4 linked regions of the Rattus norvegicus genome follow. The protein of the gene in region 2 purifies or fractionates together with the protein of the main gene of each other region. This does not show direct contact. Links are inferred from orthologs where the notes say so. Each region holds a gene or a part of one and is shown on either strand. Other genes may lie near its edges.

Region 1 (7,408 bases), on a different chromosome or scaffold from region 2:
CAGGGTGTGGTCCTCAGAGGCAGTAACAAGCACAGGTTCTACAGGGTGGAAAGCTAATGCTCTCACGCCATCAAAGTGACTGCGTAGTGTATACTTGGGGTTCCAAGTCTTTCGCAAGGCATCTTTATTGGCAGGCAACTAGAACGAAAAAGCCAACAGTTTACAGGTAAAAGTAATAAACTCAAAGGAATGTGGACTTTTTCTGCTTTTTTTTTTTTTTGGTGTGTTTAAAATATATATTTAAAACTGTTTCACTAAAATATCCAGGGGCTTTTAAATGTACCTTAAAAACTTCAGAGCAAGTCTGTTTCTTTATGTAAGAATTCAGAAAAGTTATTTTGTTAAGACTTTCAAATACCTAGATCAAATGAAAAGCTCCTAATTATCAATCTAAATCCAAAGCTCCTACCAAATGTTAAGATGAGAACAGAAAATTGCCACTGCCATAATAATTTACATGAAAGCAGAACAGGAATATAAATTACCCAATACTCAAGGGTACAGTAAACACAGTAGTTTCCACTTACAAAATTGACCAGCACATAAAGAATTTCAAGGCAGAAAGTTAAGGAACTTTTGAAACAATAAACTAAAAACAAAAACGCTTTAAGAATGTTTTCCTATTTTTTTTGTTTGTTTGTTTGTTTCCTCTTAAGAAGAGTCTTCTGTCATCCACACTGGCCTTGAACGCACTATGTAGTTACCCTGAAATTACCATCCTCCTGATTCTCTCTCCCAAATTCAAGGATTACAGCATTGCCTACCCTGCACGGTTTATGTGGTGCTGGAGATCAAACCCAGGGATTTGGGCATGCTAGATAAGCACTGTTCCTAATTCTCGAGACTAATAAAGGTTAGTCTTTTTACCTTCATCTCGACATCAGAAAAGATAGGCTATAAAACCAGTTCTAAAAGCAGTTAAAAGTTTACTACAGTTTAGCTGAAAATGATTCAAAAATTAAGGCAGATAGCTTTAAAAAGTCATCCTAATGTAAGTATAATTTTTTTAAACGTTTAAAAAAGAAATTTGCTGAAAAACTAAAGTAAATGTAAAAAAATCTAAACAAATAGCTTTCAGTTGAATGTTTATGCTCAGAAAATATTTGACAAGCACCAGTCTAATATTAATCAAGTTCTTCCTATCTCCTTTTTGTAGCCCTTAAGTGAAGTTAAACATTCAGGAAATGATAAAAGCTAACTTTATGGTAACTGAAAAACAAAACTCAAAAACAAAACATGGCTTTTAAGACTTATCCTGACAGCAAAACCCTGATTTCTACAGCACCTATTTTGTTAATACCAAAATATGGCTTCAACTGAATTAATAAGAGTTAACAACTCAAGATGGATTTATCAACCAATATTTTGAAGTAGTAACTTCTACCTAATCCACCAAAATTTCTAAGATTTAAACACCACAAAAAAATTACAGCAAAAGTACGTTATTGCAAATCAACATATCAACACACTTATCTTTTCCATGCACCTTGACATTAATTCTCTTTTACAAATGATTCCAAAGAATAAGGAGCCTTCTATTAAATCAGTAAAAAATTAAAAATAAAACTGCACTTACATCATAACTATAGTCTGCATCATTTGTTACCGTCAAGTCTGCAAGGTCTCCAAGGCCCAGTACACTTAACAAAACATCATCAGAACCCATAATAAATGACTTGCCTCCTCCAGATGGAAACGTTATTGGTTCAGCTATAAAGAACAAAACCGCTTCTTAAATGCTGAAAAATCATACAGGACAATACAATATTGTGGGGAATTTAAGCACGAAACAGTTAAAAATTCAGCAATATTATGAATTCTACTTCCCATTTCCACACACAAAAAACCCTATTACTGAGTAGAAATAAACAAATGTATTCAAACTACAATGTAGTAGTTATCGTCCATAAATTGAACATAAACTGTATATATATTATCCCAAAGTGGAGGCTGAACACAAAAAATGTATCTATTTAGATCCCTCACAACTTTGGTAAACTGTAACTGGACAGTTTTGATTAAATAATCAGATTTCAGTCACTTCTGGTAAACAAATGTCTATCAACCTTGGGTCAGCTCATACAGTATTTTTTTTTAAGTCAATATGTGACTGCTAAATCGTCCTTTTAGTTTCTGAAGAAGTCCAAGAACACTGAGACATGACAGTTTGCAGACACTGCCATACCACTCATCAGTGCCAGTTACAGTGTAGAAAACAATGACTACTAATTTAAAGTGTCCTAAAGGGGACACCTGCTGACTTTAAAGCTCTTACTATGGCTTCACTTTAATGCCCTCTTTTATTTATTATGATGTTGCTAAAGTAAAAAAACAAAAAACAAAAACAAAAACAAAAACAAAAAAAACAAAACAAAACAATACAAAAAAAACCCCACTGACATTAAGTTTGGGTGAGAATGAAAGGAAAGCTTTACTTTGCTTAGTCACCTCATCTCGTTCTCTCGTGAATGGTTATACCTTCTATACCGATACCACAGTGTGAATTCAACTACCATCATTTGAATAACTAACTGTAACAAGACAATTCAAAGTATAAGCAGCAATTCTCAATATAATTAAGTATGTGCTTTGAAATCATAATAGAAACATTAAGGTGGCAGGAAAGAAATAATTATAAAATGAGTCAACCTAAACATTTAAAATTCAGGAACTTTAAAAAATACTTTTAAAAAACTCATGCTAATGAATTATGAAAAATGCCTACAAAATAGCATCTATTTAATAACTACAGGTAACAGGTGTAATGAAATATACTAATACTAATTTACTAATAATTCTGAAAATAATTCATTCAACTCATATATACTATTACCAAGGTAAATTTGTTAATTTAGAATTTTTAAGATTTTATTTGATAGTTTCCAGACTCAAGTGGTTCATTAAATAAAGGTATAATTCAGCAACTACCCTAATTTGAAAACACTTCAAATAATATACAGTATGTGTGTTAAGATGCTAAATATCTCATACATTTAAACCACTTGTCAGTTCCTGCAGTTGTTAAGCCATCATTCAATGGTTATACTTGAATATGAACAGCACGTAGCACTCATCTCTATCAATATTAGTACATAGTTACTGATAATGTAAGAAGCAGCTAAGAACGGTAAGATCAATAGTTTAAGAATTACATTAAAATCAGTAATCAAATTTTACTTTATAATTTTTACCAGTACAAAAACTTATTTAAGTTCATAATTTGTTTCTAAAATAATTTAAGACAGATGCTACACTTCCCTTCACTAACTATACAAGTATTCACTAACACAAACTTAAAAGCTCAATAAAAAACTTTACCATCACAAATCAACTCATTTTTTAATAAATTCTTTTTGTGGGAATCAAACACTGACCAGCTTCCAGGCACAAGAAGAAAAGTGGTTCAACAACTTTAGCTAGGTTATTTAACAAAAAAATATTATACTCATTTCTAAAATTAGTAATGTAAACTACATTTCTGCACCCTTCCTATATAGATATACATATTTGTTTATATCTAGTAAACGATACTACTTTTAATACTTATTTACGTCTCTATGCAAATAGATATTTTACATCATTATTTCTGCTCTATCACCCATCATTGCAGCATGAAGCAATCACACTAAATTCTTAATTTTTTGTTCTAATATCACTGCTGAAAGAATTAATGTCTATTTTACAAATCATTTTAAGTTCATGTATAATCACCTATAACAGTATATAGCATAACGATATAATCAACAAATTTAAATGAAATTATTAAATGAATATTTTATTGTACTTTTATTTTATTTATTTTTAGACAGGGTCGGTCTATACAGTCCTAGTCAACCTGGAGCTTGCTATATAGAACAGGACAGCTTCAAACTCACAGAGATCCTCCTGTCTCTGTGTTCTAAGCACTGGGACCTACGTTTTATTTTAATTATAGAAATTTTTATTAAGCAGAATTGTCTTTCATGAGAATCCTAGGGGTTATAAAATAGAATCTTTCAAAAAGGTCCTTTTTAAGAGTCCTGTAACTAGTTCTCCTTTTGACAGACAGCATGACCAAGAAGGAAACCTCTAGCTCTTGTCAAACTCCTCCTTTTTCTTGCAGTGACGTGTGTGTGTGTGTGTGTATGTGTGTGTGTGTGTGTGTGTGTGTATGTGTGTAACATTGTTAGACAAACACTCTGCCACTGAGATACATTCCCAGCCCCTTTTCTCCAATTTTATCAAACCTAAAGAACATGCAGGCCAATGACTGATGCCAGTCTTGCTGGTGACAATACAGAATGTAATTTGGTTTTCAATAGTTTAAAATGTTGTAATATTAGAGAACAGGGATTTGTTCTTTATAACTGAAATGTAACATGTATTTTTTTTTCCAAAGGCACCAAATTTTTTGTTGACAAAGTCACTAAAATAGGCTATGAGAATCACTCTTTTAAAATGAAGGTCAGTCCGGCCCCTTTACCCTCACTATGACAGAGGTTAGCAACTTATTTTCTTCTTAAAAACACACTCACACACTTGACAAACACACAGAGAGAGCCCTTCATGGCTTTTATACAGAATAAACCTACTGGCTTTTCCCTAAATTGGAATTAAAGGTTAAAAAGGGTTCATATCGTTAATCTGACTTTTCCTTAAACTGAAAAAAAAAAGGCAATCTAAAATATAAATTAAAAAAAAAACTTTAGTAAAAAACATTACACATTACTCAGAAAAAGAAAATCCCAAATCCAAACAATAAAAATGGTAGAGCTAGTATCTGTATTTTAGAAAAGAGAAAAAGAACATACTTTACTGGAAAGTACGGGGGGTGGGGGGGGAGAATCAAAGTTATTTTAATTTCCATTCTTTACTATTAGTTTTATTACATTATTTAAAAAAAATATTTCCTTAAAATTCTGTGAATTAAAAAAGGTAAGAAGTCATAAATCATGAAAAATACAAAATTGTTAAGCTTCACTGTAAGAAAATATGCCCAGAAAAACTTAGGGCAAAATGTATGTAAAAATTTGAAAAGAATGAACAAATCACCCTGCAAGCATAGGTAAAAATAAACCTACCTACATAAAATTACTAATATGTTATCATACATGTGTCATATATTAAAGTAATCTGGACTAAAACTGAGATTATTTAGAAGTATATCATCACCTAGAATTATACTATATCCATGTATCTTTAGGTAAAATCAGTTTCAAAACATTCTTAGGTAATATTTTTACTCCCTATGTACTTCTGGCTTAGATAAATTTTAGAAATCTTTTACTAGGTCATGAATACTTGCTACCAAGTTGAAAAATGATGTTTCTTATCCTAATATGATCCTAACAGTTACATCTACTTTTAGGACTAATATATAAGAAATACATTACACTTCCTAGCATTCCTATTAAGTGGTACTTATTAACAGCTGCTACATTTGAGCCACACTATGAAGAATTAGTTTTCTCCCCACCTGTATTTTTTAAAGTCTATTTATTAAATTGTTCTTTTCTTAATAGTAGATTGTAGGGTGAAGTTAGATTTAAGGAAGGTACTCGGAACTAACCTATGATGGAAACCACTACATCTAAAATGAAAACAAAAACAAATATAAAAAACTCGAAGACACATTTCATCCCTAAGCAATTATACCAAGAGCTTGCCCAACACCTCTAATGATCACGTGGATGATCTTTAGCATTCTAGAGAATAGCACGTTTGCAATATAAAGAGGTGGTTTGGAGTTAAGGAACTCAGCAATACAAACAAACACGATAGCTAAATGCTGTACCTTCCTCTGCTCTTGAACCTTCATGATCAGTCATTCTAGTAGAGGCTGACCTAGACTGATTAATGATTCCTGAAGGGATGTGGGGCAGCTCATCATCTCCCAGATCAGTTATCATGTCGCAGAGGTTTGTCCTGTTGACCCCTGTAAATTAACGTCAGCAGTAGAGGTTCATTTAATAGCTACCGCCTGACTTGCTGGCAGCCTTACTAAAGCAACTTACTAACAAAACAGGCTTTTAAGAAGTCCAAGCTATTAAATATCATCTTATACACAATTTTCTAAAATATTCTGAAAACATTTAAATATGTTGTACAGTCACAATTTTGTGGCTTTGTGGATACTGGATAGATCAGTAATAAGTAACACTGTATTTGAAACATATAGAGGGGGAGAGAAAAACTTCTTTCTATCACTCAACTTAAATTCTGTAAGTTCAGCCATAGAAAATGCTATTAAATCAATGGAAAAAGTTAGTATTTAAAGCTGAGATTTACTAGTCCATAAAACAAAACATGGGCCTTTCAATGTAAATCATTGTTTTTAAAAGTCAAAGAAATACATACAAAATGGCTTTTATGAGGGTGCAACAAACAATTAACTTTCCCTGTTGTTTTTATGAGTATTTTCCCACCATATTGGGGAATGTCCCCAATTGTGAATGAATGTCATTCACAATTTAACCCAACTTGTTAAAAGTTGTTTCTTAGAATTATTTACCTCAAATTTTCACTTTCCCAAATTAGAAACAGATTTTTCCTTGAGTTCTTTGAAATTCGTGTAATGACAGAAAAAGTCAGCACTGTCATAGGCCATAAATTTAAAAAATAATTTCAACTAAGGCCTAGATAACACAAAACTCAAAGAGTATATACATACCAGTTATGGTATACTCTTTTACTATGAATTACATAACTGAGTTACATAGTATACTTTTAAAATATGAGTTACACAAGATGAAACTTAGTTTTAACCATGTCAAAGAAAATTTAGGGGAAAAAAAGCATTTAAAATCAGCATAAAAGGAATGAAAATAAATTCAAGGTCAAACATCATGTCCTCATATTCATCAGTATGAACACTAATGAGCTCACTAAACAAGGCTGCTTTGTGATTAAAATCACCGGCAGGTATTTGAAGATCAGGTAGCCCACAGGAAATTCATTTATCTATGGATAAATAGATATCTATGGATAAATAGAATGAGAGGCAACTGGAGGCCAGTATAGAATGGAAATAAATGAAAATTTGCACATTATTTTATAGTAGTCCCTAACTAAAAATGGTTAAAAAAAAGTCAATTTTTTAATGTGTGCAATATATGATATCCTCTAAATTTTCCAAAAGAATTATAATGGAGAAACTGTGACTTGAGCATTTTTTCCTTGCCAGTGATGCAATCATAAATTCTCTAAACAAATGAAAAAAACAAAAGAAAAAGCAATGCTGACTGGATATCCAACAACCAGGTAATTCAATGTGAAAGAAAGAAAATCTTTCTCACACACAAGTCTTCTTTATAACTTTCTGACTTGTGACTACTGCAGTTAAAACTCTGCAATCAAATATTAATAATTCTACAACTTATAAAGAGGAAAAAAGTTATATTTTATAAAATAATTTTCCCTTAAATTTCCT
Region 2 (7,408 bases):
GGACAGCAATGACAGACAATTAAAATGTTTATAAAATTCAATATTTCTCAAATCTTTATATTTTCCCATCCATATTGATTAGGTCTTCTTAGAAAAGTAGTATTTTTACTTCATACTTACAAGAAGGCTCCTCTCTGGTACATTTTACCTTTTGTATTTTCTTAAAAACAAACAAACAAAAAAAACAGGCCCACAAAAATTAAATCAGTACTTATTAGAAATGGATGATAGACAGAAAATTATAAACACCAAGGTAGGACACCTTGACTGTAATTAACAAGCAATAAGAAAGCATTACACTACCGTCCCCAGCAGAACAGGGATGGGGGGGTCTGCTTCATGCTATAAACACACACACATACATACTCATGTACACACACACTCATACACACATACATACCTGTACACATGCATACACACACTCATGCACCCACGCAAACATCTGCGCGCGCGTGCACACACACACACACATACACACACACACACACCGCACTCATGCACACAGGCACACATGTACATGCACACATGCATACACACACGCACATCTGTACACATGCGTGCACACACACTCATCTCTTCTTTACATCTCATTCAAGGAATCTAGGTTCTTGACAGTCTTCCATGAATACCAATGTGTACATACTAAAGTTTGCTCATCTTTTAGTTTAAACCACAGTTCTAGGCTTTGTAAGAGACAATACAAATTCACATTTCCAATTGTTTTATATGGGTTTATATGGAAATATTCAATTATGTGTATAATTTTCTGGAAGACCCCACTTGAGAGCAGTAAAAGGCTTTATTCAAAAATGTTATTAATCATAAGGTCATGAAGTGTTGTTGCTTTTCCAGTCAGATTCAAAGAAAGCAGTATCAGTTTCTTTGGAGGACTGAAAAAAAATGGTCTCTAAATCTTCACAAAAGAAAACGTTTTGAAAATATTGTAAACTTTAAGCTCTTAAATTTAAACAAATGTTATTTTTTTACTATAATTTCCAGTTTTCTCCCAATACAATTTATTTTAAGAACTCCTGTTACTTATATGTTGGAATTAAAAGAAAGACCTCACTAAACATTAGTATTCATCTGAAATTCTCAGCCATGAGAGAAATGGTAATATGTGATTAACTGGATTAGTTAAGGACAGAATAAACCCGAGTCCACACAGCTACTCTACAGGTGTTAGAAAGTCATTCGGCTACACGGCATTGTAGGCAAACGCTAGTAAAGGTGAGGATTTGCATAGCAGGCCACAAAACATGGGGACATGCAAGGGCAGAGGAAAAGGAGCTGAGAACAGCTTCTGGCACCAGCTTCAGAGGGTGGAGAGGGTTAAGGTCACAGCCCAGACCATTCTGATTTTGCGATTTAGCATTCAAGCCAATCATACACGAGTATACTTTAGAAAATATCTTTAAGGAAGGAAAAAAGTCTGAACCAAATGAAATGGAATTCATAAAATAAATAATAGTAATAAAATAAATAATATCAACAAGAAAAACAATCACAAAGAAGAAAGAGAGGAAGGAAGGAAGGAAGGAAGGAAGGAAGGAAGGAAGGAAGGAAGGAAGGGAAACAGAAAAATTTGCAAAGGTTTGGGGATTCAGTTGCCTGGAGTGATTCCTATTTTAACCTTCTTCATGTAACCATTGGAATATATCATATATAATATATAAATATATGTGTATATTATACATTATATATTATATATTCATTTGACAAATTGGTAAGAATTTCTAATTCATTTACAATTTAAAACACTATTTTAAGAGTTCATGATTTGTTATGAGGTCACCTCTGGTTAGCGTACTTTAGAACGCAACCCATTAAAATGAGACCCCTCTGCCACTCCGGCTTTTCACTGGGATTTCACCTCACTGTTACAGACAGAGGTGGCAGGGACACAGGGCATCTCAAGAGAAAGATCCCAGGTTCCAGGGCAAAGAGGAATAAAGAGTCTCCAACACGAGGATAAGTCAGAACATCCTTCAGTTGGGAAATAGCCTTAATTTTGGGTTCAAGAGTTTAAGGTGTAGATGACAAAGCTAATAGCTTACAAGTAATTCCTCCCCAGGATTATAACTACAAAAGGGCAGAAATGAGCTAAGTTTGCCCTTTGAAACTCAGCTCAATGCTTGCTCACATGATCAAAGAAATGGGAGCAAGGCATCTGGCAGGTACACTCGGTTCCTGGGCGTCATTCCTAGCAACCCCAGTGGTGCCAGGGGAAAGTTGATGACCTCCTATGGGCTTCTGAGCTGAAGAGGAACAAGCTCACTCAGGCACAGCCAGGTTAAGGAGCAGGATGCAGGGAGCTCGGGTGCTGCCAAGAAGAACGGGTGCTGGTGTGGCAAAGGCTGCAGTGTAGCTCAGTAGTGGAGCACTCACCTAGCACACATCAGGCTGTGGATGTGATCCCCACCAAAATAATCCTTAAAAAAGGAGAACTGGAACCAACTAAATGCAATGTGGGTAAAATGCTAACTAATTTGGGAGGCTAAGGGTGGCCTTCACCCGCAATTGAGTTCTGTAATTATACAAGCAGGCTTCATTCTAACATTTGTGCCATCAGAGCACATAAGGAGGCACCGACTGAACACCTGCTAAGGGACTTAGACCTCCGGTGCCACCCTTCTGCCCTGAAGATGCACACTTTATAATCAATCAGACAGAAGCCTGCTATTCCATCAAAGGGCATCACCCTACAGTTCTGGGAACACTATGGCCAAACTAGAAGGTTGAAAATCGGAAAACAAGGAACTGACATTACATATCTTCAATGGCTGTCGCTTCATCAAAATCTCATTCAACTCCCCTTGGCACCTCAGATATGAGTAAAAGGTTTTTTGTTTGTTTGTTTGTTTTGCTTTGTTTTTTTTTAAGAGTCCTGGCTTCTTTTATCCAGAATCCCACTGAATACAAAACAGCTGTTTGGGCAAATATTTAACAGATTAGAAGTTAGTCATCTTTTAAAACTTAACTTCTCCCGCAGTCACACAAGCTTGTTTTAAAGCTTCTCTGTTGACTACTAGAGGGTGTGTGCAGCTGGACTCAGACTTATGGTGCCTACCGAGGCACCAGCTGGCAGAGCCTCAAGGTATCAAAAAACAGATAGCTTTATACTTAAAAACAAAACCAGCTGATGACATTCATTTGCTCTGGGAAATGTTGCCTACACACAGTCTATACAGTTACATCAGAGCACAGTCACGGCTCCAAATGACTCTGGAGCCAATGCTTTCTAACAGTCTACAGATCTTAGGGTCCATGTTGGATTGTTCTGAACGGTACCAAATGCCCCTCTCCTTAGGGTAGGTTTAACTATTAGGAAAGCCAACATAATTCCAAGCAATATCAAGCCATATCACACTCAATACAGTCAGAGAAAAAACCCCTATGGAACCTCAAATGCCTATAACATCACAAAATGACAATAAATTCTAAAGCAAACTCTCAAAAGTGCTATAAGCAACAGTACCAGTCAGGCGTGGATTAGCCATGCGGCCGCATGTTCAGTGCCATGCCTTGATATGTTATGCTCTCTGAACCTCCCTCTAGCCACCTTCCCTCTGAGCACTATAAACTCCAACTTAAGGCAGAGAATACTTGCTCATGGTGAAAAAGATCATCGAAACCACAGTTATAGACAATGTGGCCTCATCTCTAATGCCGATCTATACCTCCAAAGTGCGTGATGTTTCTGGATTCTCAATTTTGCCCTCAAAAATAAAAACTTCCCCAACACTGCAGTTCAATGGAAACCGCTTGAATTAGAGGCATGCAGTCGGGCAATCTGAAGCACTTAGCTCCTTCCCTGGCGGCCAGCTTTAGAACTGCAGTCTGTGCTACATGCTTTAAGTTTTAAATGTGATGCTACTGAAATTTCCCTTTCGATTTGAAATCCCTGCTCTTTTAGAGCCAATAGGATCTACCAATCCCTGATGTCTGATGAGGGCAGCACAAACTACTCCAGAACTTTAGGTCTGAGCATGAATTTACTTTTGCCTTGATAATGAAAAAGCAATGCTTTCATAACCACACACAACAACAATATCTAGTCCTTTGAGGGACCTCCTAGACTGAGCAACTTCATAAGGCACTCATGCAATGTGAATTGTAATGTCCCATGTGGTGTGGAAGCCATCTGGGCTTGTGTGTTGGGAGACAATACTTATCAAATGAGGTACATGTCATTCAAAATGAGCTAAGCTTTAACTGAGATTTATAAATATTCATGGTCTTTTGTTGAGGGTAAGAAAGGGACATTCATACCAAACTGATATGAACCTTCAGAATCTATTAATTACAGAATAAACCCCCATTAACCTGCTAATCCAGAGTTATACAAACAGTGACTTGGAAGGGTTTTTCTTAGGCCATCCTAAAAGGAGCAAATTGAAAGCACACTGAGGATGATCCATTAATATTGAGGTCTTGCGAGATAAATATTTAATAGGAAGGGATACTCTTTTCTGCCCTGGAAATGTTTCAGTCTCTCTAAATTAATGGTCTTCATGGACTTCTAACCACTATTTTCAGGTTATTTTCAAGAAAAGCACTTAGAATGATGAAACCACAATTCATAGAGCCAGATGATTCACCATCACCCGAGAGCCTTAAAGAAAATTACAAAATAATTTTGAAAATGAGAGGGGAGGAGGAGGGGGGGGAAGAGAGAGAGAGAGAGAGAGAGAGAGAGAGAGAGAGAGAGAGAGAGAGAGAGAGAATATGAATATGAGGAAGTGGACAACCGGAGTATTAAAAATGTCTCAAGACAATATGAAAGAAATTAAGACAGGTCATAGAATAGGCCACATTCTTTACAAAAGGGTATAAGACTTTAATCCCTTTACCTGATGCTGTTACCAAGAGGCTGTCTGAGGCACCGGGGCTACGGGATGAGGCACTAACAGGGTTTATGGAAGAGCGAAAGGCAACGGTGGTGGGAATGACAAGGGAGCTGTCTGTACATGCGGGTTGGTTCAGTCCAGGGGTTTCAGCAGGCCAGGCACCCACCTGAGACGTGGCCAGGGCCGAAACGGGACAGCCTGCAGATGCCACAGTTAAATCTATGGATGGTTTTGGTGGCAGCTGAGGGGAGGATGACTTAGGGACGTTCTCCTCATTTACTACCTTGGTCCCTTGTGGCAATGTAGAGGGAGGTGAAGCCACAATTTTGTTATCAACTTTGGCCCCTGCATTGGAGGCCCTCAGTTGAGGGTGTGGTGGAGAAGGAGTTTGGGAGAGCCCTGGCTTTTTGGGAGGGATAGGAGGAGGATTTCCTCTGTCAACTCGTGCTGCCCCTGGAGTCTTTAAACCGGTTCGACCAACTGGAGGGCAGGTGCCAGCATCGCCTCCTGGAGATGCTCCCAGCCTTGAAGAAGCACCTGCTTGAGGGCTGGTAAATCTGGACAGCGCTTGGGTCACAGTATTCCGAGCTAGCTGCTTGGCTACTAGGTTGTCACGACTCGTAGGAGAAACATCTCTGGAGGGAGGACTTTGAGTGTTATTTCCATTCTGGTCTGGGTCATTTGCATTGCCCTGAAATCTAAATCTAGCTGCTTGGATGCGTGGGTTGAGACCTGGATGAGTGTTGGCACACGGTGAATGTAAACTGTGCACAGGAGGAGCTTGTGAATGGTTCTGGGGTGCTGCACCTAGTGTCTGAGCAGCAGCAGGGGCAGTTCCACTAGGAGTTGAGGGTGTGCTGTTTGATAGGTCAGGGGCATTGCCTGCACTTGGTCCGTTTTCCTCAATTCTACTTGCACTTGACGGTAGGGCAGTAGGTGGAGAGGGACCCAAGTCACTGTGGGAAGCTTGTCTATCAATACCTGGTCTAATCAGCAGGGCACTGGGGCCCACATTCCCTTTTGTGTTTGTGGAAACTAGGGGGCTCCCTGTGGAAGGTTTTATGGGTACAGACAAAGGCAATTTCTTCACAGGGTCAGTGCTTTCTGTCACTACATCTGTCTGGCAAGCAACAGACCTTGTCACAGGCCCTTCTGTTGCCACAGATATGGAAGCCAGTCGCTTATCTTTTGTCTTCCGGGGGAGGGAGAGTCCGGGCTTCCCATCGTTGCCTTTCTTCATTTGCTCCATCATTTTCTTCATCTTGTCTATCTCCTCTTTGAGGTCGGTGGTGTGTGCTTCTTCTCGGGTCAGCTTGGCCCGCAGCTGCTCCCGTTCCGTATCAAACTCAAAGAGCTGTTTCTCCAGCTGAGCTTCCATTCCAGCGCTTCTCTGTTTCTCAGCGGAGAGCTGGTCTTCTAACTCACTTGTCTTTTTCTTTTCCTCCTCCAATTTCACCATGACTTCCTCCAGCTTCTGAGCTTCCTCTACGACTTTGCCTGAGAGCTGCTTGCACTCCTTCACCAGCATCAGGACCACGTGCTTGTTCTTGCCCCTCTCTTCCTCCAGGTGGGCAGCCAGCTTCTTGTGCTCCTGTTCAAGGGCCTGAAGCTGGAGCTTTTCCATCTCCAACTGGAAGATATTCAAAGGGAAGCCTGAATTAATAGATAGAATATTCTTTGTATCATAGAAGAGTTTTTTATTAATTTCTGAACAATGCCATGATTTGGGTTAGCAAAAGTGTCACAGTTTATGAATTTTTTTAAAAGGTGATATTTAAAGACCCATTAAAATGAGAAAATTGACAAAGGGTTTTCTGCAAAATATCTACATTGAGAAAAAAGGGAATTGTTTTAATCTATTAAATTTAACCACAGTGTAGGAGAATGGTAATAGGATGTTTCAAGTCACAGCACAAAGTTCAAAAAGAACTGTTTTGATGAGTACAGATCAGTGAAAGAATTGGTGCTATTTAATAAAGGTTCAATGGCTGCGAATTATTAACTGATCATTGAGACACACAATCAGGATTTAATTCCCAAGCCCCTTAGTTGCTGATGATATTATATAGCTAAATTACTTAACAGCTTTGAGCGCCTTCTGATGGGCTGGAAGTCATATGAAATAACACGTAAAGAGTTTGAAGAATAAAAGTATAATGTGCTAACAGATTATCTTATTAGATCTACAGTCAAAGTTGGTGAACCTAAAGCCTCACTTTGTTGTTTACTTGGAAGCTGCTTTTGATTTAGCTACCTTGGCCCACCTTGGTGCTTCGTGAACTTAACCCTACCTCTTGCTTCAGGGTCTTCAAACTTGTCTTGCCTGCCTAGAATTTCTTCACATGCCTTAAGGAGGCCCTCCTTCACAAAGAATCCTATACACTTCACAGAAGTATCCAGCGAGCAAACCCTCCAGCATCCCTCACCCATCAAAATGCCTAGGTGTGGGGTTGTACCTGCTTTTCTTTGCCCAAAAGGTCCTGGCTGTTCCTGAAGCCATGGGACCTAACTTGGTGCTGCTCAGAAAACAAACTACTTTACCAAACGATACACACAGA
Region 3 (7,937 bases), on a different chromosome or scaffold from region 2:
ATTAACGAAACGCAATCGTTTTTAAGTTCCTACATCTTCCATTTATGTGCTCAGTGGATCTCAGCTATCCTTCGAAGGTATGCAGGACTGAAGTGCTGAATTGTTTCAGTCCCCTTTTCCTCACACTCACATCCTACCCATGCGCGCGTGGCACACTGACTAGTGAGCTGTCTTCCTGTGTTCAGAACCTACTATGTTTTAATGATACATAAACAAACTGTACATGCAAAAAAACCCACCACTACCTCTCAACTCAGGCCTTAATTAATTTATACAGACTCCTAAACACCCTTCCTGCTTCTTCTTTCCCACCTCCTGGGGCATATTCTCAACTCCTGCTAAGGGTTCGTTTTAAAGATGCTCCTTTTTTCAATACATTCCAATGGTTGCCCAATCTGCAGAAGTGAAGCCCAGCGGTGGTTATTTTCTTGGTACTGGGGGTTGGACATAGAGCCCTGCATACTCTGAGCAAACCCTCTACCTCGGAGCTCTGGTCTCAGTCTTCTTTTCACTTTGCATTTGAAGCTAGACCTACTAAGAGTCCACGCTACCCTTTAATTCCTTCTGTAACCCAGACCAGCCTTCAACTTGTGATGTCTCTCACCCTATGTCTGCCAAGTAGCAGAGATTACAGGCCTGTGCCACCAGATGCAGCCAAAATTCAAAGTCTTTACAGGAAGCAGGATCAGTATCTTCCTCGGCATCATTTCTTCCACTCCTCCTCCACTCTGGCCACACTTGCCCCATTGTTGTCCCCGTGATATTCTAAGCACCCTCCCTTCTCTTGGCTGTTTTAACTCTCAGGTACGGCCTTGGAAGGATTCTGCTCGCTAACTCTCAATCTATGATGACTTCTTCCTATCCCTTTACTTTAGCAGAGCATGTAAGACTTTGCAATGTAGCAGGTATTCACTGTTTATCTGACCCTATCATTTAAATTTCACGAGATAAGATCTTATATCTTCTCCATGCCTAAAACAGGACCTGGCATGAAGTATATACTTGAAAAATATTTGCTAAATGAGATACAAATCATTGGTGCCAAGATCTAGATTCATAAACACTCCAGCCCAGAGCCTCTATACCACATGCCCTCTACTAGTTGATCTAAACAATTCTACCACTCCCACGTAGACAGAACCACAGCCTCCTCCTTCCACCTGTATATCATCAAAATCTACGGTCACTCTATTACCTGTTTGCTTTTCTGAAGGTAACTTTCAAATGACTAAGCCTAGGGTTGTGATTACTTCCCGACTTTCCACATTTACTGCTGAATCTTCTCAGGCTGTTCTAAGAAAGTCAATCTCCCCCATACTGATTAGGATGCAAGGTTCTTTGGGGTCTCGGGCACCATGTCTCATACGTGAAAAAAAAAAAAAACCTTTCAAATATTATTCTTTCAATTCCTTTTTCAAACACAAAACTCAGTAATACCTTGATAATCTCTGTTCTCTTGTGAATCATCAATTCTCATGGTTGGTGGGGGGATGATCCATTAACTAACATGGGAGAGGAGGAAAAGGAAATTAAAAAAAAAAAATGTTTTGATTGATATGACTCCTTTCTCCTTCCCAGCATCTGCAGGAGGGAGGAAGTGACACAGGCTGCCCAGACAGATGAGAACTTGGGCTGCCTTTCACAACTCACCCCTGACAACTTGAAGGAGCAGGACTGACAGGTTCCTGTAGGGACAAATGAGACTGAACCTTAAAGGCACTTCTGTTGACTTTGGTGTTAATGGCTTCGGAAGAGTTTTAAAAATTAAAAGGACACAGGTATGTGTCATTGCAACTCATTTAACTCTTTTACTTTATACTGTTTGTCCCCCCCCCCCCCCGCCAGGAAAAGCCCAATGGTACAGAAAGGGAAAATCAAATTTAATGTTGACCTAAAAGTACATGATTTTTAAAAATTGTAATTCTGCGAATGGTACAAAGACCATGTATTATTGCAAACCCTGTGATAATAATATTTATTTTATTTATAAAAAAAATTCTATGATTTTTTTAAAAAAACTTTCTGGAACATAAATCAAAAGACGCTATTTAAAAAAAAAATTAAGTAGTGTTCTTAACATAAGCAACAACAGGAATCTTACCTGAAGTTAATCTGGATGTGTGTGTAAAAATTAAAGACTAATTAACTTTAAAATTGAAGCCTCAGAGAATGAGCAAACATAGGCTAGTCCGTAAATCCCCATACCTACACACAGGAAGGCAAACATTGTCTTATTGCTCGTTTTTACCAGATAGGTGTCATTTGTTCTACATTCCCTAAACTATAAAATATGCTAAAATTTAAGCAGAAACAAACAAAAATCATTTCCAGCAACCATGTGTGAGAGTTGGCCCTTGACCTGAACCCCTCCATAAGTTCATCTGCAGAATGCATTGCCAGGGAAGGTAAATGTCAAAGCACCAGACTTTTTGTGTACTCTCAGTCACTTGGTTGGGTACGAGATCAGCCATCACTACAAGACTTACAAATATCAAACAGACTTATACCTAACAGTAGGTATTAAAAAGTCAGCAAAGAACACAAACCACATAACTGCAGAAACAGAAGAAACCATACAGGCCACTACCTTACTTCATTCGATTGCCCATACCCACCTCCCAAGAAGTGACTATACTCCTATATTCTTACTTTCCCTCGAAGAGCCCAACTATAGGCTATTTCACACAGCTTTATCCACTGACTGTTCGCCTTCTGCCTAAAACAGAATCTCCATGAAGGGGGCAGCAGCTTTTCCAGTTTCGTTGGCTGGAGTCTGAATACACAAGGCAGGCATTCAACCAGGCCTGAGCCATGTGCTGAATAAGTAAAGGATGAAACTGAAGCCCAGAGAGGTCACAGAATATCCTCAAGGTCACAGAGCTGGACGCAAGCATAGCCTTTATCAGAGACCTATTTACTATAACCTTGCCTGTTTGCTCCTTCTGTGGCCACATGCGCCTCACCAAAGCAGGATGCATCTGCAATTGAGTCTCTTCAGCATGTTTCTTTCTCTTTAATTTTTTTTGTGCCAAAAAAAAAAAAAGGGACCAAAAAAAGGAACACACTTCAAGTGCTTCACAAACTAAAACTGTACTTAAATTTCATAAGCATATAGGCTTAGCCCATAAAACAGAGAGGCACAACAATTCACAGCTCTCGAAGTTCCTCTGGAAATTAGTGTGTGTGTGTGTATGTGTGTGTGTGTGTGTGTGTGTGTGTGTGTGTGTGTTGGAAGTTTTATAAACAGTCAGAGAAAACCTACTTACCAACTCAGAATGGCCAGTGAAGTGTCAACCTTTCATCCTTCTCTGGCCCACAACAGCTCCTCTCAGATAGGCATACTTTCTTTACCTTGCAGGTTATGAAAGGGGGCGATGTAGCACTGAGGCCCCTTCAGTTCCCTTTAAAGTACATGTCAGGCTTGCAAAGCACTGACCATAAAAACCAACTCTTGGGAAGTTTTAGATTCTGTAAAAAGGTGTCCCACCTCTGCCCATTTTCTGGCTCCCTTCAGTCAGATTGCAGTCCCTGCATTGAAACCTATGAATCCAAACCAAATGCGGGATGGGGTGAAAGGGCAGAAAGGGAAACACTTTCAGACATAAAGCTGATACTGCTTGTAACACCCTAGCCCTACGTCAGTTTCTCGCGGAAAGCCAAGGCCTCGCTGATACAACTTATGTTGCTGTCTCTGGTCACCTTTCTTGCAGAGTGAGTGAGTAGTAGTCAACTGCCAAAACCTTTTGCGGGGAATGTCTCTAGACCTAGGGTGCGTCATGTGGAGCCAGGATGATTTGCTCGGAGTCTCTCAAAACTACTGTCAATCCAATCAGTAAACCGAAAGGGACAGGCAACCCAAGATGTGGCATGGCAAACAGTGGAAACAACAAGCAAGCACGGGAGTTGAGAGTGGGAAACAGCCGACAAAAAGGCGCCGGGAGGGTAAATGGATCAGAAGGAGTGGGAAAACAGGCTCAAGGAAGTGGGAGCAGAAAAGTCAAAGGTGACTGGAGGAAGGGGGATGAGATTCTGGAAGTGATGGGAGCCAGGCAAGGGGGAGGGGACGCAAGCGGACTGGGGGAGGGGGTGAAGGGTCCGGGGCGGGGCAGAAGAGAGAGAAGAGGCGGGATGAAGACCGCCAGGCCGGGAGGGTCTTTACCTGCAACTCCGCCCGCTCCACCTCCCACTGGGCTCTCTCCACCTCGAAGCGGGCCCATTCGTGCTGCAGGAAGTGCAAGATCCCCGGGAGGCTGTACTGAGCTCGGGCCGCCCCCGCCGCAGCCGCTCCGTCTCCCGCCGCTGCAGCCTCCGCCAGAGGCCCGAGCCCCTTAGCACCGCCAGCTCCCGGATGGTTGTTGCTGAAGAAGACGCCGGGCCCCGCCTGCTCGTCCATGGCGGCCGCACGAACCCCGGGGAGCTCTGCCTAGGCGCCCAGCAGCGGCGGCAAACTGCGGCGGCCAGCTCTGCCTCCTCCCTCCGCCGCTCCCCGCCCACACCCCAGTCAGCAGGGAGCAGCCGCCCGGGCGCGGGGGCCGGGCGAGCCCGTGACGGGCCGGGAAGTGGGTCAACTGCGGCCCGCGGGGCTTGCCGGGAAATGTAGTCCTGGGGCGTGGCGAACCCTGCTTGCCTGTAGGCCTGCGTCTCTCGGAGGCGGGACTGAAGCCACGCCCTTTCCTTGCCACGCCCTCCCCTCGGGGCTGCGCGGGTTTCCTCCTCAGAGGTGTAGCCAGCCGATGCCCCTAGGGTCGCGCCGCGGCTGGCCCCTTTCATGCGGAAGTTCGCGGGCGGCGCTCCCTGTTGCATACTCACACGCGGAAGTTATCAAGCCAAGTACCAGCCCCAGCTGCACTTAGTTTAGGGCTTCCTGGTCGCTTTGTTAGGAAATAGGCTCTGGGCAAATCATCCGGTCGTCTGCCCCTTCGTCGCCCATTTGGGGGTTCATCAAAGCCTCAACACCCCTGGACTAAGGGTTGTCACCGAGCCTGCCTTTCATCTCCTGAGGGGCTCAGTGCTTGTTAACAGACCAGTTTTCCCTTAGGCACTCTGGACCTCTATCTTTCTGCAAAAGTTCAACATTTGCCGTGGGGGGCTTCTTCTAATTTCTAGTTTAACACTTAGTCTGAAGTATTGGTATAAAAGCCCCTTTCTCTGTAGTAATCCTGCCGGTAAATTCTGCAAAAGTTTTAGATCTCCAGTAACAAGTGCTGCCTGTTCAATCTCATTTTCCCCATCTTTGCGGCAGTTTTCACTCAATTCGCTTGGACAAGTATCTTATTGTCAGTTATATTCCGTGCCAGGAATATAAAGATAGATGTCATAGTTCTTGTCATCAAAAGGAGATTGACATACATGTAGAGTCACAGAGCCCTAAGGGCTACACTCGGAAGGAACAAAGTCCCTTTTTGCTCCACTGCACTCCTGAATACCCTGGAACCTTCCCTTCCCACTTGTTGCTTTCCCAATTTCTTGGGCAACTGATCTTTACACCAAAGGCACACCAGAATCCTTTCCTTCTAAGTGACTTGGCAGTGTTTTCCCTCTCTGAGCTCCCTGATAAAATTATCACTATAAATTTACACTACACCAACCCGAGAAAGGAAGGTGCCTGAAGAACATTTAAGAAATGAAAACCCAAATTAAGCAATTATTTAGTTGTCATTGTAACAAAAAATTGTAATTTTGTTTTGATCTGATGGACATGAAAAAAAAAAGATATAAGCTGGTGAGTGACTTGCAAAGGAAGGGCATCCTGTCTCTGTCCTCTCTGCTCCCCTTCTTCCCATGGCAACATGTGAAAAGGACAGGAAACACATTGTATCTGCTCTGGTTGCAAATAGCCATGGCAAAGCCCTCTTCACTCAGTTACTGAATGTTTCTGCTCTCTGAATCCATTCTTTATTATCATAAAAAGTTGATCCAGGCCTGGCCAATTTCCTCGTGTCATAAATTTGTTTGGCTCTAAACGTTCTTTGCCTGAGTCTCTCATTCACAGCTCAAGAGACTGAGGCTGTCCTCAATGAGTCCTTGAGTGACCGATGACTGCCAAAACTACACCCAGATTACCTGCCTGTTAGCTCAGTGACCTTAAAAAAAGTTGAGCCAGACATGGTGGCACACCCCAGAGACAGAGGCAAGCAGAGAGAAGCAGATTTCAGAGCTCAAGGCCAGCCTAGTGTACAGAGTGAGTGAGTTCTAGGACAGCCAGGGCTGCTCCCCAACCCCCAAAATTATTTACTTATCTATTCCTCTATCCACCTAATTTAAATTTTAATTAGTAAATTAAAAACAGGTTGATTACTCTCTTTTATCTATCAGAGCCACGGAAACATGAAGAGAAATTTTTTCTTTCTTTTTTTCCTATCCTTTCTTCCTCTGTTTTTGTTTCTTGAATTTTTGAGACGGGGTTTCTCTGTGTAGTCCTGGCTGTCTTGGCACTTGCTCTGTAGACCAGGCTGGCCTCCAATTGAGATCCACTGGCCTTTGTCTCCCAAGTGCTGTGATTAAAGAAATGTGCCACCACTACCTGGCTAAGAATGGAACTTTGTCATCTGAGGGATTTAAGTAACTTTATAATCTCAGATGTTCAAAATCAATTTTTTTCCTCTAATAGAAGACATGTCAGACAAGATCACTGCCTTAAACTGATTCACAAACAAAGACTATCGAATATAATGAAATGTATAGATAACAAGGCGCTTGCCATGTAAGCGTGAGAAACTGAGTGTGGACCCACAGCACTCACATAAACCACAAAGGCAGGCAATGACCTGTAACTCAGCACTGGGAGATGACAGGGTGCAGAGGCAGGTGAACCCATGGAGATAAGTGACTGGCCAATCTGGCCAAACAGGTGAACTCTAGGTTCAGTGAGGGATTCCTGACTATTTACAAACAAGCAAACAAACAAACAAATTCAAAAAAGCTGGGGAGCAGTGAAGGAATACTCATGGATTTCATGCACGCACACACACATACACATACTACGCTTGCACACTTCCCAAAAGTATAGGCATCCTGGACTACTACGGATACGTACTGGAGAATTCTTTTCATTCATATTCAAATTTGTTATTCCATACTTTCTTTGCTTTTGAGAGCAATCAGAATAGTATTGACGTACATATTATGGAAATAATATCCAACAAGTCAAAAATACTAAGAGTCATACTAAAATGGGATTATTAAACTTCCTTTAGAAGATCCGTGTGTGGTAATATTTTGTTGGTAGTTTAACAGAAATCAGTACATTTTAAAAAGTTTTAAGGTTCTTCTGCTTTAATAAGGCCCCTGGATCCCATATTTTCCTACTCTATGAGTTAGATTCTAAAACTGGTGTGTGGGGTGAAGGGCGGTGTGTGTGTGTGTGTGTGTGTGTGTGTGTGTGTGTGTGTGTGGTGTGCTCACTCGCACGTGCGTGCTGCCGATGTGTGGAGGTCAGAGAATAACTTATGGAGTAAGTTCTCTTCTTTCAGCATGTGGGTCTCTGGGGATGGAACTCAGGACGTATGTCATAGTACCTCTACCCGCTGAGCCTTCTCACTGGCCCAGTTCTCTCGGTTGTTATTAAAGCATAACATTTGTCTTACAAAATAACTGTGAGGTTATATAGGAGAATGAATTTAAATTTTTACCATAGTACCTACCGTATGGTATAATATAGTTCACAAGACTAATTGAAATTTAAACACACACACACACACACACACACACACGCACTTAAAGCCCCTGTAAATGCCACAATTTCTTCACTCAAACACCAGGACTTCAGCAAGAGTTAAAACAATCCTAAAACCAAGACTAATGCTTAAGCTAACCTCTGCGCCTCAAACAAAGCTCGTGGTGTTGTTGACATCCCAATATTTTCATTATACAATAAAGCCCAAGAGGCAGGGAAAATGGCTTCTTTTCTGAGCACACAGAGCAACTATTGAGGTGGT
Region 4 (8,166 bases), on a different chromosome or scaffold from region 2:
CCTATAGTTTGGCACACTCTCAGGAAATCCTTGAAGAAAGTAAAATATGACCTGAAAAAATCGGGTAAGATTTGGCCGAGTGGTGATTACTGATTTGGAACTGATGCAGTGGATCAAACAGGATTTCTTGGTGGGAAGTATTTACACTACTATATCTATATCTATATAGAAACTATATAGGTTATATCTATAGAGAAACTGAGCATAGGGTTTTAGATCTGATTGGGGAGGTGGGGTAGTCAGGATTTGGTTTAATAAAAAAAATGGGTTATTAAGCTGAAGAGAGATGAGATGATATGGTGTTTGCAGTATGAACTGTCCACGTGAACTCCAAATATACTCCATAGAGGATACTTAATTCATCATAATAATCTCTTGTTGAGGCAAAGGAAATGTAGCTTTTACTTTCCCAATTATGTAGACAATTTGGACAAGGTCACTGAATAGATGAAAGGCAGAGTAAAAGCAGCACAGCGCAGTGCTCGCTGGCTCCCAAGTACCATGCAATTATAAGCTCTCATTTTCTATGGCTCAAGCAGTGGAAGCACATGATGGACCTCTTTTATTCAAGCACCATTTCAAGCCCTCCTTACCATCTAATTCACATGCTATATTCTGCCCTATTCCTATTTACTTTCCACAATAGGCCCCAGCCTGTAAGCCCTATTTTCAAGCCTCCAAACTACAACTACACCTCCTTCTCCAGTACACCAGTTTCTTGGGTTATTTTCTTCCAGCTATTATCGATATCATATTTAATGATTCAGCTTCAGCTGCTTAACAAAGGGGTCCTATGTTCAAGGCGATGCTTCCAATGTCTTGCTACTTAATGCAGCAAATCTGACAGTTAATAAAGAATTTGCCTTAGCTAATAACTCCCTCTTTAGCTTAGACTATTTTCTCATCTTCTCATGCATCTTCACTTACAGGCCATGTTTCCTATCCCACGAGGGCCTTTGCTTTCACATATTCTCACTGATATTATAGACCTCTCCCATCTTAATGGCTTTCCATCTTTTCTCTTTAAGTAAAGTGCTTGGTATACAGTACTTGCTTGGTCAACAATGAACGATTGAATAAAGTTCCAGTTTTAAATCTCCAGACTGTGTTGGACAATCTTAAGTTGTCAGCCCATTGCTCCCTGAAAATCATTTGCTTCCTGTCAGGTCTGGCCCTTCTGCATTACATTTTCTTCAGATGTAAGTGTTACCTCACTTGTCTTGCTGTTACTAGCAAATTATTAAATCAAGTGATGTCTTTTTCCTTATGGCACCCAAGGATATGGAAGGCAGCCTGTTAATCTGCATAGATCAAACTGTCTTAAATACTATACCTTTCCAGTACCTTCACTCATCCAATAAGGAATTTTCCTATGCAGGACTTTGTTTATTTTGTCCGTTATACAGAAAGGTTCAATGGCCATTTCAAAGGCTAAAATCCTTCCCTTGCATTTAAAGGCCTCCACTCTAGCTTTCCAAAGTTATTACTTATTATTTCTCTCATGGAATATTTCATAATCCCTTAAGTGGTTTTATTCTGTTTTCAAAGACTGTGTATATGTGTGTATGTGTGTATGTGTATGTGTGCTTAAACATGCAGGCAAGCCCTTGTCTATACATGTAAGGTTTCTTTATGTGGAAATACCTACCTCAAATCCTAACACTTTGACCTTCTAGAAACCTTCAACTCTGCTAGTCAGACACTCTTTTGATACTTACAGACGTAAGGTCACAGACTTGATAGTTGTTTAAGCACAGATCATAGATCTCTCTATTGGTCCTTCCTGGAACCTTTTACTAAGTTCACCAATGTCAGATAATATTTTTACTCCTTGCTAAAAGTCTTCAATAAAGTGTTTCTTAATACTAAAACTTCACTTCCACTGAGATCTCAAACAAGCATTGCTAAGCTGTACCACCCTTTTCACAGTTAAAGGTATAAGAGAGATAATTTTAGAATTCTTTTAAGCAAAAAATGTTTCTTTACTAGTACATACCATGTAAAGCATACGAAACACAATAACATTTTAAATTTGGTTGAACATCTAACTTTTTCTCTTACCTAAATGTTAGGAAAGATTGAAAATGACAAATATGTAAATATTTATTTTAAAACACTAATGTTAAGCTTTAAGGGAAATAAACTTTCAAATATTTTTAACTGACAACTTCAAAGTCAAAAACAGATTTTAAATCACTAAAGAGTAAAGATTTGGGTGGAAAGACAGTTTATTGGTTTATTACCTTGTTAAGGTTGTACTTTAAATGTGGTTCAAGAGAAAAGCTCCTTGAATGGAAAATCCCTTTCATTATAAACATGAAATATACACAAATTAAATACAAAAAAAATCATGTCCTCGACATTGGGTGTAGTAGGGCAAAAATGTTCAGTACAGCATTGAGAAATATCAACAATATATGTTTTGAGGAACTAATTTCACAAGGATGAGTTTGAATTGGACCAAGTCCTGGGGTTTCTTCCTTCACTGCAACTTTCTTTTACATTTTAAACTAGTGGCAACAAGAATGTCTTTGTTTGAAAGTAAGCAATGCTGAAGACTTGGGTGAGACAGCAGGTAGCTCTGTTTATGCACTGCATCTCTGCTCAGAGGGAGGAAAACATTGTGGAGAAAGTCATTTTCCCCTTTAATTTCTGGAAAACTCATTTTTTCCCATCAATCTTCATAACTCTCCAACATAAACAGTTAAAAATGTATGGGCCAGTCAATCACTTCACCGTGACTTGGGGAAACATTAATTTAAAGAACACATGGCAAAATCAAGTTTTCTTGCTAGTTAAACAACCTAAAAGTTGCTTGCTCCTAACTCTAACAAAACTCTAGGAAGCTATTATGATCTCAGAATATATTTTTACATTATAGTTTTTGGAAAAGGAAACAAACCTACTTTAGGCTCAAGGGTCACACTGCATGCTATAAATGTGTTTTAGGTCCCTGTATAATTTTAAAAATGGAAAAGTTGTGTTTTTTGTAAAGGTCACAGCAAGTGCTTAAGAACTACATCTAGAAATAGAAATGAAAATAATTGGAGAATGTGCTATTTCACTTAGAGGAAAAGTGGCAGAACAATAATCAATAATCTTTGCTAGGTGTGAGATGAGTACCCCTGTATCGCTAAGGCTTGCTTGACAAATGAACAACTTTGGGAAAGCATACGACGCAAGGCAAAGTTGATGATTCCAAATCTGTGATTCACACTTCAACCCACCTTAATTAAGATCTAAACCTCCAAGAGATAGCCAGCTCACATAATTAAACAAAGCAGCGAGCCATACGCCAATGCTGAACAGCGAGCAGTTCGCAAACCATCTCAATCAAATAAAGTCAGAACAAATTAAATAAAGACCAGAAACCACATAAATCAAATAAAGTCAGGGCAAATGAAATAAAGAGCAGAAACTCTTTTCTCCTGAGCACACAGAGTTCCCCAGAATCGCACAAAGTTGATGAAGGAGATGCACCAGTGTGGCTGCAGGCAGGCAGGCGCCTGCTCACAATGGAGAGAGAAGCATGGAGCCCTCAAGCAGCAACCATATGTAAACTTCGACTTCTCCACATAATAGAAAGCTGTGCACAAAGGGAAATGCTCACATGCTGTTCCAGATCAGAGCAAAAGTTCCTATTGCAAACTACTACTTGTCCAGATACAGGCAAAGCTAGCACTGAATGAATGGGGTGTGGGACAGAGTAGCTATGGAAAAGAGAGCCAGAGAATGAGAGTGCATGAGCAAAAAAACTTTGGGACCCTAGGAAAAACTTAAATGGGTTAATGCCATTAAAAGCCCAACTCTCCTTTTCACTGCTTTCCTTCCCCTTCTTGAGTCTCAACCCAGACCTGTCCTTAAACGCAGGATAGATGTACACATGGCCCCTTTGAGGAGAAAGGATATTTTAAAAATCACCTTTGTTATCATGAATAAAAATGAGACCAATTTCCAAGGCAAACGATGGAATCCATGCACGAGGCAGGAGGCTGAGACTCCAATCTACCACGTTTTGATTCCTAATAAAAGCATAGGCTATGCAGGGCTCTCGACATTATAATTATAACTTGAAATAATTCATTTGACTTAGCATATTTAGAATATCATAAGGAACCCATTTTTAGTGTTTTTAGCCTCTAATCTATTACTTATAAAGGGTTGTTTAGGTGACCATGGGGGGTACCCCACAAGTAAATGCTTTAAAATGTTAGAGTGGTTAAAAAAACGAGATGTGTAAAACATTTGTTGACATAACTTTTCTTTAATGAAATGATAATATAGTGGAAGGAGAACTGCATAGCCTTTGAGTAAGAAGTTGGGTCCCACACTTTTTCCTTTGCAATGAACAAAAGCTTAAATACCAACCACCTTAGCAGACAGACAAGGCGAAGGGCCTGAGCAGTCCTCACCTCAGAACAGGATGCCACATTCCTCATAGCACTGCCCACTGGGCTAGGTAGGGGAGTGACATAGAAGTTTGCTTGTAAATGGCACCGAAAGGGAAAAAGAAGTCATCTTGCTCTTCTCCCTTTGCACATAGGAAGCACCCAACTCAATGCCACCACCACTCCTGGTCTCGCTCCGCCCCAACTTCTGTGTGTACCGTGTGGGGCACTGCTTGGGTGTTTTAACCCACATAGTCCAAGATGCCTTCATCTCAACTAGGTTAAGTTCTGGGACTCCCCCACTCTGAGTCCTCAACTGTGCCACGATTAACAAGCCAACAAGTACAGGTGCCTAAGGTTCTGGCCTATTTTTGTACGTGCCCCCCCTTCCTCACCCCCGCGCGCCAACCCCAACCCCCATTTTCTGTTGCTTCTCGGTCACCCCAATCTCTCCCAAGCAAAACACCTTCTAGCCAGGACGCCAGAAAACACCTCGAGCTTCACTTAGGGGTCACCTGGTGAGAGATCCGGCCCTGCCTTCAGGTTTGCTCCGTGGCTGCCCCTGGTCCCCCGGTGCCCCGTGCCCAAAGCGGGGCTCTGGGGCAGTCACGTGGGCGGCAGGGAAGGCCTGGGCTTCCTCACCTGCATCCCGGGCACTTGAACAGCCACCGGTGAGTGGGCCATGGAGGCGGCTGCTACTTCGCGCTGCTTCTGCGGTGGTGGCTCCTGGGGCACAGACTGGCTCCTCCTACGGGGGTAGCTCTGCAGCTCTCCCAGGCTTCTCGATCGGGGCCTGGAGGGACGCAGAGAAGTGGAGTTAGTGGGCTGGTGCTTGCAGCCTCCACTCCCCCACTGCGCCCTCCTTGCGGGGAGGTGAGCGGTTCGCGGCGCTGCTCTCCCGGACTCAGTTTACCTCTCTGACGCTCGCCCGCCTAGCTTTCGGACAGTTGCGGTGCCGCTCCTCTTCCTGAATGCAGAGCTGTGCGTGCGGCAGTGGCTGGGACCTGGGCTCCAGTGATGCGGCTCTGCTGCGCCTCGCCGCTTTAGGAAGAGGAGGTGGAGGCGCCCCAGCAACCCGCCCGAACGCCTAGGCTGGGAGGCGGCCGGGGGCGGTTCCGCAGTTGGCCCTGCCTCCACCCCGCTGCCGGGCGGTGTCAGGGGAGCTGAGGCTTCAAGCTGCAAACCGGGTTGGCTAAAGTAGTCAGAGTTGGCGAAGCATGGGGCTCTCAGGGGTTGCGGAGAGCAACAGAAGGCCGGGATCGAAAAACCTGGAACATAACTGGTCCTGGAGAAAGAACAGAAGAGTTTGCGGGAGCGAGAGTGGGGTGGGGGATATGAGGGCGACCCAGATGAACGAACACGGCCACGTTGCAGACAGGCTTGGGAGGCTAGGGTGCTTGTAGCCGCCCAGAGGTCTGGAGTTGCAAAAGTTTGCTTGGCTCCCCCACCTGGCCAAGGGTGGGGCCACCAAGCCAGACACCTGCTCTTTCGTGCCTAAGTTACTTCTCTCTTGCAATTTTCAGCTTCCTTGCCCCTAGACAAACCTCAAGTTAGTTTAACCTGAGTCTGTTCTTACCTTAGGCTGTCAGTTGTGGAATGGCCTGGCTGAAATTTCTCACAATTTCTGCGCGTGTGAAAGAAACAAATTGGAAAAGGGATCATGTATCGGCAGAAAACTTAACAATGATTACAGACGCAAGGAGCATGAGACTAAATCTTTTGTAGTATAGATAGTTGAATTTAGCATACAACGCCTTGACTTCTGCAACTCCCTGCGTTCTTCCAATTTAAGTCCAACTCCAGGAGTGAGGCATACCCTTTCTCGAGGACCCAATAACACAACAGTGGCAGTGATAATACCAGTCACAGGAATCTCAGGGAAGCATCTATATGAACACACAGGGGCTAATGAGGTTACAGGACAAAATGCACGTTTAAAATGAGAACTCACCTTGAAGTTTGTTAGAAGCCTATGCAACCAAGGCACACTCAGGAAACATTATTTTTCTTTTATAATTTTTTTTCTCCAAGAAAAGTATCTGGTTATTATCAACATGATTATTATTAATAGATTTCTTTTTTGTTGTGACAGAGAGCCCAAAATTTATGCACTGTGTTTTGTAAAGAGTTATTGTGACAAGAGATCACTTGGGTCACACTTCTTTCTCCCCATTGAACAACTAGAGCAAAAGGTTCAGCCAAGTAAATATTTGACTCAAATATTGCAATTAAAAAGCAATGCATCTGAGACGTTCAGTCTGGGTCCCCCTGACACTTGCTACCTTCTATTATATGGAAGAAAGATATTAAATGATGGCATTGACTTTACCTTACTCACAGTCCCCCAAGTCTTGGCATTCTCTGTTCTTCCCAATGGTAGGCCCAGATCTAGTATCTATTTCTCACCAGCTCAAGTCACTGTATGTCCTAGCCTACCCAGACACATACCGTGCCACCAAAACTTTAATGTTCATAGAGACCTCAAGGGAGTTTGCTTGTTTGCTTGTTTACTTACTTACTTACTTATTTTGTTTGGTTGAGACATGGTCTTGCTATGTAGCCCTGCCTTGATTGGAACTCATTATGCAGAAAAAGCTGGCCTCAAACTCACAGAGATCTGTCTCCCTTTGCCTTCTGAATGTTGGGACTGAAGGCATGTGCCACCATGCTGGGCTGAAAGGATTTTTTTTTTAAGGAAAACTATTTTTTATTCTTATTCTGAAGATTTTGAACCTGTAAGTGTGGAGTGAACCCAAGACTTTGCACTGTGAACAAGGTCTGAGAGGATGAAGCAGATAGTGATTCTAAGGGTGGGTTTTTTTTTTTTTTTTGAGTTAGTACGATGTGAATCAAGCTCCATCATTAAAGACCCACCTCAAGCATGTCCACTGAAGGTTCTCAGACCCACCAGCCAATGTGCACCTGCCCTGTGCTCATTTTCAAAACTGGGCTGTGTGCATGTGGAAACATTTACAGGGTTGCTCTGTCTTTGTATTTTAGGAATTGTACGCCATTTATTTGCTCACTGAAGCCAGCCAGAGACCCAGCTTCTCTTCTATGAGAATTATTCTGGAAGAACGATATCTTTCTGAGGACCATGTTTGCTATTAGGGTTATTCTCAGAGTCTAGAATGTTCTGTGCCACAAAGTGGGTCCTCAATAAATATTTGTTGATAAGCAAATGCACTTCCTTGGTATTCTTTGATGATATTAGGTATATATTGGGGATATTATATTTTATTGTATTGTTGTCAGGTTAGACTCACAGGCACTGCTCTTGGTTAACCTTCAACATGGTCCCTTGTTTATGTTATTCAATTCACTTTTGGCCTGCTGTGTTCTTCCCAGTTGTAACTTCATAACTACCTAAGAGAGTGTTGTGTGGATTTAGTAAACAAATGAACTCTAAACAAGTGAAGAAATGACTTTCCTGACTTCATGCACATGCGCGCGCACACGTACACACACACACATACACACACACACACACACACACACACACAGAAAGAGAGAGAGAGAGAGAGAGAGAGAGAGAGAGAGAGAGAGAGAGAATGGTTGACTGTTTTAATACTAATAATACAGGTTGAGTGTCTCGCATCTGACTGCTTGAGAGAAGTGTTTCAGATTTCAGAGTTTTTCAAATATGGAGTTATTGATATGAACTCTTAAGAGCTGACACCCTGAACATGAAAATATAAAACTTTTGAACCTCAGGTTGACATTCAAAAATTTTCACACTTCAGAGCATTTTGGATTTGAAATTTACAGATTAGGGAAA

The links.
Region 1: the proteins of Cttnbp2 (region 2) and Strn3 purify together in Homo sapiens (affinity purification with mass spectrometry; 4 studies listed by BioGRID and IntAct, with this or other methods). This does not show direct contact. The link is inferred for Rattus norvegicus from reciprocal best matches to the Homo sapiens genes CTTNBP2 and STRN3.
Region 3: the proteins of Cttnbp2 (region 2) and Strn purify together in Homo sapiens (affinity purification with mass spectrometry; 3 studies listed by BioGRID and IntAct, with this or other methods). This does not show direct contact. The link is inferred for Rattus norvegicus from reciprocal best matches to the Homo sapiens genes CTTNBP2 and STRN.
Region 4: the proteins of Cttnbp2 (region 2) and Stk26 purify together in Homo sapiens (affinity purification with mass spectrometry; 4 studies listed by BioGRID and IntAct, with this or other methods). This does not show direct contact. The link is inferred for Rattus norvegicus from reciprocal best matches to the Homo sapiens genes CTTNBP2 and STK26.

Annotation. Positions count from the first base shown.
Region 1 is NC_086024.1:74,804,517-74,811,924, forward strand, and holds part of Strn3 (striatin-3), read right to left. Parts: intron 5,915-7,408; coding exon 5,774-5,914; intron 1,711-5,773; coding exon 1,577-1,710; intron 139-1,576; coding exon 1-138. UniProt on the Homo sapiens protein: Calmodulin-binding scaffolding protein which is the center of the striatin-interacting phosphatase and kinase (STRIPAK) complexes.
Region 2 is NC_086022.1:47,838,089-47,845,496, forward strand, and holds part of Cttnbp2 (cortactin-binding protein 2), read right to left. Parts: intron 6,481-7,408; coding exon 4,854-6,480; intron 161-4,853; coding exon of another isoform or gene 121-160; intron 1-120. UniProt on the Homo sapiens protein: Regulates the dendritic spine distribution of CTTN/cortactin in hippocampal neurons, and thus controls dendritic spinogenesis and dendritic spine maintenance.
Region 3 is NC_086024.1:22,084,009-22,091,945, reverse strand, and holds the start of Strn (striatin), read right to left. Parts: upstream 4,438-7,937; 5' UTR 4,394-4,437; coding exon 4,160-4,393; intron 1-4,159. UniProt on the Homo sapiens protein: Calmodulin-binding scaffolding protein which is the center of the striatin-interacting phosphatase and kinase (STRIPAK) complexes.
Region 4 is NC_086039.1:135,206,627-135,214,792, reverse strand, and holds the start of Stk26 (serine/threonine-protein kinase 26), read right to left. Parts: upstream 5,302-8,166; intron 5,182-5,301; coding exon of another isoform or gene 5,073-5,181; coding exon 5,031-5,072; intron 1-5,030. UniProt on the Homo sapiens protein: Serine/threonine-protein kinase that acts as a mediator of cell growth. Modulates apoptosis. In association with STK24 negatively regulates Golgi reorientation in polarized cell migration upon RHO activation.